Bombyx mori: one gene and its partner. The protein of the gene in region 1 interacts with the protein of each later gene in a pairwise test. Links are inferred from orthologs where the notes say so. Each region holds a gene or a part of one and is shown on either strand. Other genes may lie near its edges.

Region 1 (6,812 bases):
AGCCTTAAGATGCTATATCAGCGGAACCTTAACTAGTAGGTGAGCTCACGGGGCCCAAACCTGACGACGTTGCTAACACGAGCCCTAGCAAGAGCTGTGCTTGGCAGAATCTAACACCGGATCGGAAACGCGACCCACTGAGAAGATCCGGCGAGAAACTCAGTGGGCTGTGTCTGTGGGTTAATTTACTCGTCGAGCCCTTCGTCGCAAGCGACGGGTTCGACGAGAACGATGACCAGTGCTTGAGGTACCTAAAAGCACCGTTAGTGGATCGAGAGGATCCGAAATGACGTGTTTGGGGCGACGTCGACCACTTTCCATTCTGTCCGCAGGATCGGGAATGTAGTTACCGGCGGCCACGATGAGAGGGTTCTCGTGTCGTGCCACTTTATCGAAGTGGACATTATTGTAATGCATATTGTAATGAACGAACGCGTGTCATTACATTTTGTAAGCGATATCGATACTTATAGACTTTATGGTTCAAGCTATTAGTGCTATAATCACTAAGCAATTAATGTGACAACATTAACTCTTTATACGTGACCTAATACAAGTGCTTATTGATTTTGTTATTGTATTGATTATTTTGTTGGTTTTCCTTCTGAGTAGTGATGTGCGCACCGGCGAGACCGTGTCCCGGAGGTCACGTGAGAACTCGCGTGACCCCCGGGCTTGAAGCGTTGTTAAATTAGATAGCAGATGAGCTCACGGTGTCTCAGGAGATAAGCTTGCATCGTATTGAAATGAACATTATTCTAGTCACAGATAGAAGAAACAAGCAGCACTGTTGTGTGAGCCCGAGTTAGGTCTCCAATAGATCAGCAGCACCCACTCGACTGAGTGAGAGGCGCCATGTGCAGTCAGCTAGTACAATGTGCAGCTGAATAGGACAATAAGGGAAGGGAGGCCGCTATTTAATGACCTTCTCTATTTATCTTTTTATACTGGGTTTTTTTTTATTGCTTAGATGAGTGGATGAGCTCACAGCCCATCTGGTGTTAAGTGGTTACTGGAGCCCATAGACATCTACAACGTAAATGCGCCACGCAGTTTGAGATATACGTTCTAAGATCTCAGTATAGTTACAACGGCTGCCCTGCCCTTCAAACTGAAACGCATTACTGCTTCACGGCAGAAATAGGTAGGGCCAATACAAATACAAATAGGCAGGGCAAATACAAATACAAATACCCGCGCGCACTCAGAAGAGGTTCTACCACCAGTAATTACGCAAATTATAATTATGCGGGTTTGTTTTTTATTACACGATGTTATTCCTTCACCGTGGAAGTCAATCGCGAACATTTGTTGAGTACGTATTTCATTAGAAAAATTGGTACCCGCCTGAGATTCGAACACCGGTGCATCGCTACACACGAATGCACCGGACGTCTTTCCTTTAGGCCACTTTAGGTTGTTAGTAGACCTCTTCTGAAAACGAAAACAGGCGATAGTACTAATGACACCTTTGATGACGGGAAGGGAAAAAACATTTAAAAAATTTTTGATTTTTTAGTTTAGTTTTTGATTTATTGTTTCAATGTTGTTGTTTTTTTGGTAAAGTAATGTATTTTTTATGAAACTGTCGTTTCATTTAGCTGCACTAACATGATGGAGCTTAAATAACGCTAATAAAACGTTTTAAAAATATGATTTTTTTTCCGATCATGATCAATTTTTTTCCGTCTCATCATCATTGGTGTCATTAGTACTATTGTCTGTCTTCGTTTTCGGAAGCGGTCTCCTAACACCCAGTGTATAGTTTGCCAGAGCTTTTGCAAGGCGACTCTGAGGAATAATCTTCTCACTGGTGTACAGATCTGCACAAGATGTATCGCATATACTCATTTTTTATATAGAGTAAGCTTCGGTTATATTGCTTATGTTAATTTTGAACGCGCGCTGAGGAATTCACAAACAATGAAGGCTGTAAAAAATGTAGCCAATTATGCATATCTCATATAATGAAACAATCTTTAAGCAATGAGTTTTAAACATTATAACAATGCAATAATAAATCGTGTTGTGACTAATACATTTTTTTTATTTCTATTGTTTTATTCGTTTGTTATGCTGTCGGTACTGTGACGTCATCACGGTTTTTACAATAATGCATCTCAAGTTGGTAAAAGGAAATTCTCGATTCAATAAATAGTATCATAAATATCATTGATTGTGAGTTTATCTATTAACTATTTTTTTATTGGTCAATTTGAAGATAGCATAGCAGGGAGAAGTCACGTGCTGCGTGTAATGTTCTTCACGTCAACACGAAATAGCCTTTCAGATCATATGAGTTTGTTTCTTTTATTATATCTATATATTAATACGGGTAGCAAAAATGTGTACCCCTTTTTACGAAACTTGCACGGACGGAGGAGTATGATATTACCTACACTTATAGAGAATATAGAGGAGTGCAGAATACTATTTTTTTTATTGTGCATAAAAAATACATTGAATCAATAAAAAAAAACATGACACACAACACCATGTATTTGACACACACACGCATATATACTCTTTTGTTTACTGTTAAAGTCTGTGGTCAAATTGAGAATAGATTAATATTGTTTGTTTTTAATATTATTTATCTATAGTATAGTCTTGGCGAAATCTGTGATTATAGAAGTCTTTGACAATAGAATCATAAAAATGTTGAAACTTATAATTTAAATCAATAATTATAGTTGAATTTCGACTACATGGCGGCCACTAGTATATATAGTTACTAGCGACCCGCCCTCGCTTCGCTTCGGAAAAATTAAAACACACATGAAACCAAAAAAATAAAATAAAATAAAAATTAAAAAAAGTAGCCTATGTTCATCAGGGACAATGTCGGCTTCTAATGGAAAAAGAATTTTTCAAATCGGTCCAGTAGTTTCGGAGCCTATTCGAAACAAACAAACAAATCTTTCCTCTTTATAATATTAGTATAGATGTAATACTAAAGATATATATATAACTATAATAGTTTCGGCGAGCTAATGATGATATGCACGATATCGCTTGCGGTTTTTATACCTAATAGTCACCATGAATGATGTGATAATGGTACCGTTTGTATATCTACCTATCTGCGAGTAGCCTCAAGGGGCTATTCTGGCTGCTCCGTGACTGGTATTAGATGCAGTTAACCGGACGCCATTCGGATCCCATTCTCAACAAAGATGACCGGTTGTATACGAGCTGCTTGTCCTAATGTTGGTAGCTTATGTCCTTCTGTGGACTCCTGGTGATTAGATTATTCCGCGACTCAATTTTCAAAATGCTGCTAGGGCTGATCTGAGGGTCCAATTCTGCGGCAGAACACTCACAAATATGGTTTAAATGAACCTTTCTTTCCAGTTACCCAATGGCAAGCAAAGAGGAGGTTGAAAAGAATCAAGACAATTGTGCAATCTGCTGGGAACCGATGAAGGAAGCTAGGAAACTGCCCTGTTCTCATCTCTTCCACAAGTATGTCATTTTGTTGACAAATAGCTGGGGTATATCGGTAATTGAGGTCGTCTCCTGCGGAACCGGGTCACGGGTGCAATAAGGTATTCTATTGCGCTCGTAAGTTGCTGTGAGTACAATCTAAATATTGGAAGAACGAAGGAATCATTATTTTCTGGAACATAAATATCCTTGTGAAGTTTCGGTTTTTTCAACTTTTTTCGAAATACATGTACCATATATGATATTACTAAAAATCCATCCATGATGCATCTTCCTGCAATTCACCAGGGAGGAGAGAGGGGACACAGTAATGTTGTAGTAAATAGGTGGGACGAGAAGAGAGCGAGCATCAACCTTTGCCGCGGAGAGCCTTCTCTGTTTCTTAATTTATTTCTAACTAGCAGACCCGGCCACACGTTGCTGTGGCTAATGTTTTTGTTTCTAAATAACACGTGGCCGGCTAATACCCAAAATTAACAAAGTAAGAACAATTGGTTCTCACTGTATTCTGTTTACTACGAAATAAATTTCACTTATCTCATCAGCCTCAGCAACACGTGGTGTTTATGCCGTTACATTGTAGCTTATGTGAAACGTTGGTATTTTTAACACAGCGCCATCTATGAGATATTAATGTCAGACAGTATTATAACTGTCTGTAAAAACTGACTTAAGGCGTCACGTCAGAAATCATTTTGTTGTTAATTAATAAATATCACAACCATAAATCGAAATAAAAACCATCATGTGGTCTAAGTTGAAAAAAACATATTTAAAAAAAAAGGTTAAAATCGGTTCAGTAGTTTAGGCGTCCATCGCGGACAAACAACGTGACACGTAATTTATATATATTAAGATGTATGGTCGGGTTTTAAATTGCATGAGGATAAAGTGACGGTAGAGTGAGTGCGGTGTGTTGTGCGCAGCTCGTGCCTATGCCAGTGGGTGCAGCAGGACGCGTCGTGCCCCACGTGCCGCCGCGGCCTCGCACACGGCGCGCCCCCGCCCCCGCCCCCAACCCCGCCGCACAACCACCTCTTCCACTTCGACGGTACGACAGTTTCTGGACATTTCATCCCCGTGAAGGTAGACTAGGGAATGAACGGCTGTAGGGACAAACAGTACAAACTTGTTTCTTGTTTCAAATAATAAATTTACAAATGATATTAAAAGTAATACAAAGCTTTATTAACTGTAGTGTAGTTTCAACTGACTCCTGATCGACCCGAGCGAAGCCGGCGCGGGTCGCCAGTCATGACTTAAACTTAGATACAATCTGTCGTGTGTCAGTATTATATAAATTCAACGATTGCCTACTGGGACGAAAAGAATCCGTGCCCTGTGCGGCGCCGGCACGCACACTGTGCGGCGCCGCGTGCTGTCAGCGACTTATGGAGCATTCCACGTTTCCATTCCGTTGCAAGTTTTTGTTGCTTTGTGCAAAGTTGACTGATCGCTCCTCTTCCATAGATGTGTCAAAACTGTAACTGAACAGTAGGTAGTGTTACTGGTGGAGCATGACGTGTTGCAGGCTCCCGCTACGTGTCGTGGCTGCCCAGCTTCTCCGTGGAGGTGACCCGCGCCCGGCCCTCCGCCGCGCAGCTGGACGCCATGGTGGCGCAGGTGCTGGGCATGTTCCCGCAGGCTGACCCCGCCGCCCTGCGCGCCGACCTGCTGCTCACCCGCTCCGCGCACCTCACGCTCGACAACATCCTCGAGGGCAGGCTGCAGCCGCCCGCAGGTACCAACCCATACATTATATTTCATCTCATTTCATTTAATTTCATCCCAGTTGATTAATGTCTCAAATTAATTATCTTCATTTCATTTCACTCCATATTATCATTATTCATAAAAAATAAGAATGAAAATTAAAATAAGACATGACTTGTCGCCAAGGCGGTGATACATACCCTTGAAGGCTTGCAAGACGCTCTACCACCTGTAGTTGAATGTTACTAAATAATAAATGGCAATGAATTGAACAGAAGCACCGACAGTAAGACCGATCTCGCCCCTCGAGGCGCCCCCCGCCCCGGAGCCCGCGCCCCCCGCTCCGGAGCCTGCGCCCCCCGCCGCGGAGCCCGGCCTGGACAAGTACGTAATGCGTCTAGTTATGTTTCCTACACACGCGGCGTATATACAAACACCGCTTACTGTATATGTATGTATATATGTATGTAGATGGAGACAGTGTAAGACATCCTGTGCCTCGAACAGCCAGAACGCGCACAACTACTATTTGCTCTTCATTTGTTTTCGTTGAGACGATTAAAACAAAAGAAAACAAAACACATATTATTTTCGATAATAAATGAATTTAATAGAAAATTTATATCCACTAAAGTTAAGCAAATTAAAAATAATATAAAAATGAAAATAACTTCAGTGTAGCCGAAGTCAACTAAATATGCATCGCTAACTGCACCCGAATTTAAAAGGTCGCTTTTGTTTATGATTAAGTCAAGAACCAAAGGTTTGGTGTTTTTTCGTTACATGATAATTTCAGTGAATCCTACCCCAATCTTCACTAAGGAACTTCGTGCCAATGGTACAAAATAGGCAGACTTACTAATTTATTACTTCACGAAAAGTGGAGGTCGTCAAATAATAACGTTCGGATTCCAGTCTAGACGTCGGGTCGACCAGCGCTATATTCTCGAGAAACGCGCCCGAACGAGAACAGAACCTGAGACGCAGGAAGGAGATGCTGGTGGCGGCGGCGCGCAGGCGGTACCTCGAGCGGCGCGGCGAGGCGGCGCCACCACGCAGCTGACTCGCCCCCCCGCCCCAACCCCCCGGCCCCCAGTACAATGCGCGCTCGCGTGCCCAGCGGTCGTGTCCGGTGCACCTGCACTAGCGCCCTTCCGAATGTATTTTTGTATGTCGATTAGTATATCTACTGTCTCGTGTGAAAATTTACCGTAGAGTCAGTAAGCAAATTAAATTTCAACCGTCCTCGCTGTTTCGAAAAAGTAATATTTCAATATTGGCAACATTTATGTACAAATTGAAATTTAAAAAAAATCGGCAACTTTAATTAAGTAATGATTCAATTTATAACTTGAACGCTGACGCGCAATGTTAGGAGTATCATAAAAAGTTAAATTAGCATATGACGTTTTTGTGACATGCGAGATTTTTGAAGGAGATAATGATCACTGTTGTAGTAGCGTTAAAACATTTAAATATAAAAGGAATATAAAAATATATGAAATTTAATAAAATAAAATGGTAGAGCAATCAGAAGACGTTTTAAACGACTACGAATGCAGAAAAGTACGTACTCATTTAATATTTGTGTAAAGTAAACTTGTGTCGTCGACTGTCCGGCGCCGACACGTCGCGACAGTACCGATTGGACT
Region 2 (7,796 bases), on another chromosome or scaffold:
CACAAGACTGGCTGGCGGCGCGTGAAATCGACTTCATCCGGCACGAAGACTGGCCCTCCTCCAGTCCAGATTTGAATCCGTTAGATTACAAGATATGGCAACACTTGGAGGAAAAGGCGTGCTCAAAGCCTCATCCCAATTTGGAGTCACTCAAGACATCCTTGATTAAGGCAGCCGCCGATATTGACATGGACCTCGTTCGTGCTGCGATAGACGACTGGCCGCGCAGATTGAAGGCCTGTATTCAAAATCACGGAGGTCATTTTGAATAAACTTTAGTGTCATAAGAATTTATGTTTTGTTAAGTTCATTTTCGTATATGAATGGTTACATAATGAATAAACTTGTTTCAATTATTTTACATTAAACATGTGACAGAATTTATGACCTGACTATGTACCTTGCACCATATAAATAATATAATAATAATAATAAGCAAATTTTATTTCCAACGCCTTACGAAAATAACAGGTTTTTAAAAAAAAAATATCGAACATTTTGCACTTGTGTTATTGGAACCCCACTTCGTGTATAGGCCTCCTCCAGCGTACTCCGTTTTTCCCTATTCTTGGCCTTGCTTCTCCATTCTTTTCCTGTTGTTGCTATTATTTCATCCATCCAGCTGTTCCTTTGTCAGCCTTTTCTTCTTTTACCCATTGGTCCTTCCTATCGTGTGGTTTCTAATTTCCACCTTTTGTCCGCATATCTCGCAAGATGTACACTGCCCAAATGCACTGCTGTGTTAGAGCATCCAACTTTTGCCATATAATTGTGCCATAGTCACGGTACATGAAGTTTGTATATTCCGTTATTATTTTTATAGAGGAGCGGAGATTGGCTGCATGTAGACAGCGCGGGACTCATTTGTGATGGCGATGGCGAGACATGGGGAAGCCTATATCCAGCAGTGGACATATGTGGGCTATATATCTGTGGATATATAGGTGTCCTTGAGAGAACAAGATTTACATATTTTAAATTGATTATCTTGTTAATTAACAACATAAGTAAACGTATTCTATTATTATCAAATTAAAGTATCTAGAACACCAATTATTAAAGTACCTTCAAGTGTAGGTACCTAGATAGTTAATAATATCAAAGTTCACTAATGAACACACAGGCAACACAAAGGGATATTAAATACCCATCATAGGTAGAAAGCGCTGTGAACCTAATGTAAAATACGTTTAGTGCTGATTGACACTATCAAATGTCCTCCGAGAGGCGATAAATTCCTTGATAATAAATATTATAACAATGGCTACATCGATTAAGGTACGGAAGGTGACGAACTTATCTGCTACGCACCTGTGACGATTGGAAAATTAGCTGAATGCTAACAATCCGAAAGTTTAAGGAATATTTCGTTCAAATTTTTATTAGTCGTGTCACCTTACTCCCAGCCTACCGCGGATAAATTCTGTATCATCAGAAGTTTAAATGCGTGTTTGTTGAGTGGAAGGAAGCTTTAATTAGTTCACTCCGACATATCCCGCGTGCCGCACTCAACGCTTAACCCAACTAGGAAGGTTAGTGTCTACTAGCTACCTCGATAGATATAATTGAAATTACATATTTTTACTGTAACAATTTAACTGTTTACAGTTTGTAAAACGTTAGAAATGATATAAAGACAATATTATAAACTGAAAAAGTGATTTTAATTACCTCTACGAACCGAAAAACTAAGGAAAATACTATTGTATCTCGATGGATTTAAAATGTATGTATGTTATGCTGTATGAAATTTAAACTAGTATTTTTTTAATTGACATTTCGTAAAAAGACACCGTAGATGATTCGCCTTTTCCTATCTTTATCTACCTATAAAAGAAGAGGGTCCAATGCTCCTGATAATATTCCTATAGGTAATTTATGAACAGACATTACCCATATCCATATAGAAAAAAAAATTATTTTATTTCACTGCTCCCTTTAATACCGGATATTTTCCATGAATGTTACATAGGTCGTCCCACGTTGGAGACCTTACGAAATACAGATATTTTAGAACCCGAGGAAGAAGAATTTTATTAAACATTGAGTTGTTAGGTATATCTTTATTGTTAATCTTTACACGTCATTTCGGATCCTCCCGATCCACTAACGGTGCTTTTAGGTACTTCAAGCACCGGTCACCGTTCTCGTCGAACCCGTCGCTTGCGACGAAGGGCTCGACGAGTAAACTAACTCTCAGACACAGCCCACTGAGTTTCTCGCCGGATCTTCTCAGTGGGTCGCGTTTCCGATCCGGTGGTAGATTCTGCGAAGCACGACTCTTGCTAGGGTTCGTGTTAGCAACATCGTCAGGTTTGAGCCCCGTGAGCTCACCTACTAAAGTTAGGGTTACGCTGACATAGCCGCTAGGGCTATCAGCTTAGGTAGGAAAAAAAAAAAAAAAGTTAATCTTTTTCACTTAGGTAACTCATACTATTATTGTGTTCCTTGTAACTTAAGTCATATAAATATTAAACAACCATATTAAGATAGTTAAGTTAAATATAATATGTCTATAATATATCGATGATATAATAACCTTATTTGTCATTGATAACGAGAATTTGTCTTAATACTGAAGATTCTACACATAGATGTTCTAAATTTAATGAAACAAAATTAGACATCTGTTGACGAGTAGCTGACATCACGTCATTTTTAAAACTGTATTAGATGTCGCTGACCGCGGTCCTAAGTGATTTTATTTAGATCTGTTCATTAAAATAACATTTTCACAATAGGTTCATAATAAATACTAATTTGTTTACGAGCCTACGTTTTTCACATTTATCATTTTCTGTCAGCTGAATAAAAAATATACGTTTCATAAAATTTTGAACAGCCTGTAACTCTCATTTTTAAAAAATCATGTGCGCCATTCACTCTCGGTAGAAACGTAAGATTCAGAAGCATATAAAACACAAATATAATAAAAAACAAGTTCCGAAACTTTCGAAACAGTTTTAACAACTTTCATGTAGGTTCTCTTCAATTAAACACGCTTTCCTGTTTGGATTTTATATTAAGGGCTGAATACAGTTCTTCCTCTCTACTATTTTTCTATTACTGACATCTTTCATTCTTCCCTTTTTTTTCATAAGCTCTTTTGCGCCTTCTTCTAAATAGATTGAAGTCTGTATAACAAGACAAGTTAGTTTTAGCAGGCTTCAAACACGGCACAAGTTGTATAACAATGTTGTGTGATTCCTATTCAGTCCCAGGTACTCAACCTAGTACAGAATTTTATTCTTTTAATAAACAATTTGTTTTTGTTGTCTTAAACTAATGCATGTTTATTTAAAAGGCTTTTTTCCAGACATCTATATTGAACGCACCCTATTCTAAATTCTACATTTTGTCTATGTTGGTGAAAATCTATATTATCTGTGGTTAAAAAAAACTAAAGAACACTCGCTTTTGTAGTCGCGTTTATTGCAATTTCGTAGATAAAATGCTATTGTAATTCATTAATATAAGGAAACGTGCCTCAACAAGCGTCGTTAACACATTCAGTGCTAATATAATTAGATATTTTATACAATTATATGAGTAATCGCTTCCATTTGACAAACTGCGCTCGACCGCATATTTAAAATGGCAGCCCTACCACGTAGAATAATCAAAGAGACACAGCGATTGATGCAGGAGCCGGTGCCCGGGATCAGCGCAGTACCTAGCGAGACAAACGCCCGTTACTTCCACGTTATCGTGACGGGCCCAGAGGACTCGCCTTTCGAAGGAGGACTGTTCAAATTAGAATTATTTCTACCGGAGGATTACCCCATGTCGGCACCTAAGGTTAGGTTTATCACGAAAATATATCATCCTAATATAGACCGACTGGGCCGCATTTGTTTGGACATTCTTAAAGATAAATGGAGTCCAGCTCTACAAATACGCACGGTGCTACTGTCTATTCAGGCTCTGCTGTCAGCACCTAACCCTGACGATCCGCTGGCGAACGACGTTGCCGAATTGTGGAAGGTGAACGAGAGTGAAGCTATTAGGAACGCGAAGGAGTGGACGCGGAGATACGCCATGGACAACTGAATAGCCGGCACGAGAGCACCGGTGCCGACCGTGCGCGCCACACGACCAACGAGATATCACGACTTATGAGTGCAAGTTATGTTACACATCCTAAACAGAGTAACTTGTGAGAGACTATTGTGGATCAAATTTTTATTATTAGTGGATGAGGGCCGCGGCGCCGGTCCCTTTGCAGTTATCCATTGCCTCACCTTGTTCGCCTCGGAACGGCTAGGCGATCCCACAGATCATTGTTTACCCATTCACATGTAGCTTGGTTACAATATTAGGTATGCATATTTTTTTACTATTAATATGAATAGTGAATAAAGAAAATATACCTGGAGTCTTCAATGTATATATTATGCTGGTTTAAAATTAATTTTGTACAGAAGATAGTTTCAATTTGCAAAGTTTGATTATCTATGCCAGAGACTTATCGGACACAGTCTTACTAAAATTTGATTGTAACATCATTTAACTGATCTCTCATTGAAATGTTTTTTGTTTTTTTTTTTATAGAACAATGATTGCATTTAGGTATAATTTTCACTTTATTAACCACATCGAACATGATTTCACAGTGAATCTTATGTTGTACTATTTACGTCTTGTATAAAAATTATCAAAATAAATTGTATTTATGTAAATTTTTAATTTGGCTTCGTGAGCAACTTCAAAATACATGAAATACAAAAAGCTAACCCATATTTTATTTTTAGTGCAATACCATCACAAAATAGGATTCATTAAATTAAAATAAGGGCCAAACTCAAGTAGCAATTTACAAATTAAAAGCATTTACTGGAATCGCGTTGATACCTTGCAACATGCTCTTATAATATTGAATACATTGGACCAATGGCTATCAAACTCTTCTAAGTAAAGGGTGATTGCTTTATGGCATCAATAGGCATGATGGTTGTCATTACGTTTAAAGAATCTATCAACAACAGTTACAAAACAAACTTTGAAAAATTAACATCTTTTTGAATTCACCTCTACACCTCTGAATTTCAACTAGAAATAAAGTGCTTATCCATTGATCAGTCAGTGGGTATAGGTTTGTTAGTTCATTGAAATTTAAGTAAAGACACAAGTTAACTGAACAGTTGTCATTGCAACTTAACGAAAATGTAATATCAGAAATGTTGATTGAATGATTGTTTCATATTGAATTAAGCAACCGTGATGACATATTGGTCGTAAGCCACCAATAGCTCATAAGTGCTTTAGACCATAATAACTCAAATTTTATAATAACAAAATATAGATGGTATTTATGAACCAAAATCAAAGTTTATTATTTGTACTGTAGTTTTATATTGTTAAGAAGAAAATATTCAAATCACATTCACATTTAGAGCTGTAAGTAAATTAGAAGGTATTTCCATAAAAAAATATTGGCAAAAAAATCAGGTAGATGTTATTTCTTCTTGGTGTGAGTTCTTAAAAAGTTTTTTTTTTTTTATAATATCATAGAAAAATACAAAGAAAAGTAGCCACTTCTAACATTAAGATAAAAAGCTAACAGATGGTGCAAAAAACAATTTCAGTAAAAATGTGAGCTGGGAGGTATTGGGAGCTTACGGTTGATAAATTCTTCAGTTCTCAGTCATTGACATAATTAAAACTAATTTTACGATTTAATGCCATGGTGGTGTGTGTTGAATTGTGATCACAAAAATTGTAGTGTCCGTAACATTGATAATAATATGATTGAACTATAAGTCATATTAAGATTATCTTTGACTTAGCAGGTAAGATGTCCTCTAATATTGCTGTGGGATTTTGAGTGGTTTCCTTGTGATGCAGATTGTATTGACCCTATATCAGTTCACATTAGCACTTCAGGGAGTTATTTTGGATGACGACTGAGAATTTTCTCTCCTGCCAGTACAGCTACTTGAAGAACTCATTTTGCATATATAGTCAAAACTGAGAAAAGCAACTTACAGATATAGCCAAGTACTTTAAATCTATAACAATATGTCTTAATTCCTGTCACCACCATTTCAAGATGTGCTCGTAGGACTGTCGGACAGAAGGACAGGAAATACTAAATCACACAAGCATGAATTAATATTGTTAATATATTATATAATATTAATATACCTATTTTATTATTATGTTCCATAATGCTTTTGATATAGCATCATATGGATTTCCCAGACTATAAAAATAGATAATACTTTTCATGTGCCATATTAATGAAATGTTTTCCTCATTGATGTTTTCGCTTCAATTTTTTGATATCATTGCTTTTAAGGAGAAAAAACAACAAAAAAATAAAATAAAATATAACTGGATAAAAAAAATGCATCATAAGCTTTTAGAACGAAAGAAATTCAATACCAAAATAAATATATTGTCAAATGGTAGTATAGTGGATCTTCTTCTTCTATATCGTTCCATAACTGCTGAGGATCGCGACCACATGTGACGTTCTTCCACTATGTTCGATCATGGGTGGCATGGACCACATGGTACAGACTACCACCAAGTGCTTCTCTTACTAGATCTGACCGTTTGGCTGGTGTTCTGCCCACGGCGCACTTGCTCTCTATGCGACCCACAATTAAGAGCTTCTCTAATTCTTGTCTGAGATATAGTGGATGGTTGCACCGAAATATAGTCACCTTTTTAATTATTAGCGGAGGCAGATGAGTTCCCAGGTCACCTTAATGTAAACATTGCCTTCATCTACTAACTTAATAATCAAAATAAATATTAGAAAGTAGCCCATTTTATAATGAACTAGGTACATTAGATTGTGGGTTATAAATTACAATGATTTCTCTTTACTGGGAAACAAAGTCCCTATTTTGAAATTCGCGTCTTCGCTCATTGTGCTGATTTCAGATCGTAGCTCTTGATGTCATCGACCAGATACATTGTACTGTTAGTGTACTTATAAATTGCATTCTAATAAGAAAACTTTAATCTTCGTGAACCTTGAAATTTCGAAGTAAATACAATCTTTACTTAACAAAATACGACCGGATTTAGATACAATAGGTTTGTGGTTTTGCAATTAGATGTGTGCATAAATTTTGGGCCAACTGATGTTGAATAGCTACCAGAATATACTTTGGTATAAAACATTATCCTTCAATCGTGGAATTTATCTTTAAAACGTTTTGAGTACGCATTGATACCTGCCTGCTTAATTTGATGTTTGAATAAGGGCATAGCATAGCGCCAACCCTTTTAATGCCTACACTTTATAAGTGAATAGATGTGTAATAACGCAGTGATCAGCGCAGTTTTTAACGCAGTGATGAACACAGCTTGCGGTGATTGGCGCAATGCGATCATAAAAAGGGTAACGGTATTTATCTCAAATAATCCACAGATTAAACAATTAGTTTCCCTCATCAAATGAAACGGAAGTTGGGCTGGTATTTTCAAAGAAAAGAGAAATATATATAGAAATATATATATATAGAAAAATCAATAAAGATCTTGCAAAGGTGATTGTCAGATAACGACCTGACATTGGTGTAGGTTTTAATGTTGGCGGTCGTTTTTATCTTTGACATGTTGAAAACAAAGCTATTTGTTGTAAATTACTAATGCATACTGATAATCTATTTAAAGATTAGACGTTAAGTTCTCTCGCATTCAGTCCTAACTTTAAGATTTCATGCCTAAATAAATACCTATCTATAAAACCCGAAACAAAAATGTAGACAAATTATTTTTATTCATTAGGAGTAACCGTGGTAAGCAACTATCAGAAAATAAAGGTACTGAAGCGTGTACAA

The links. The genes of interacting proteins can lie anywhere in the genome.
Region 2: the proteins of E3 ubiquitin-protein ligase AMFR (region 1) and Ubc13 interact in a two-hybrid assay, tested with the Homo sapiens proteins (2 studies listed by BioGRID and IntAct). The link is inferred for Bombyx mori from reciprocal best matches to the Homo sapiens genes AMFR and UBE2N.

The regions. Positions count from the first base shown.
Region 1 is NC_085125.1:14,671,173-14,677,984, reverse strand, and holds part of E3 ubiquitin-protein ligase AMFR, read left to right. Parts: intron 1-3,354; coding exon 3,355-3,465; intron 3,466-4,373; coding exon 4,374-4,498; intron 4,499-4,978; coding exon 4,979-5,188; intron 5,189-5,435; coding exon 5,436-5,544; intron 5,545-6,075; coding exon 6,076-6,223; 3' UTR 6,224-6,812. UniProt on the Homo sapiens protein: E3 ubiquitin-protein ligase that mediates the polyubiquitination of lysine and cysteine residues on target proteins, such as CD3D, CYP3A4, CFTR, INSIG1, SOAT2/ACAT2 and APOB for proteasomal degradation.
Region 2 is NC_085111.1:2,341,325-2,349,120, forward strand, and holds Ubc13 (ubiquitin conjugating enzyme E2), read left to right. Parts: upstream 1-3,368; 5' UTR 3,369-3,594; coding exon 3,595-4,050; 3' UTR 4,051-4,730; downstream 4,731-7,796. UniProt on the Homo sapiens protein: The UBE2V1-UBE2N and UBE2V2-UBE2N heterodimers catalyze the synthesis of non-canonical 'Lys-63'-linked polyubiquitin chains. This type of polyubiquitination does not lead to protein degradation by the proteasome.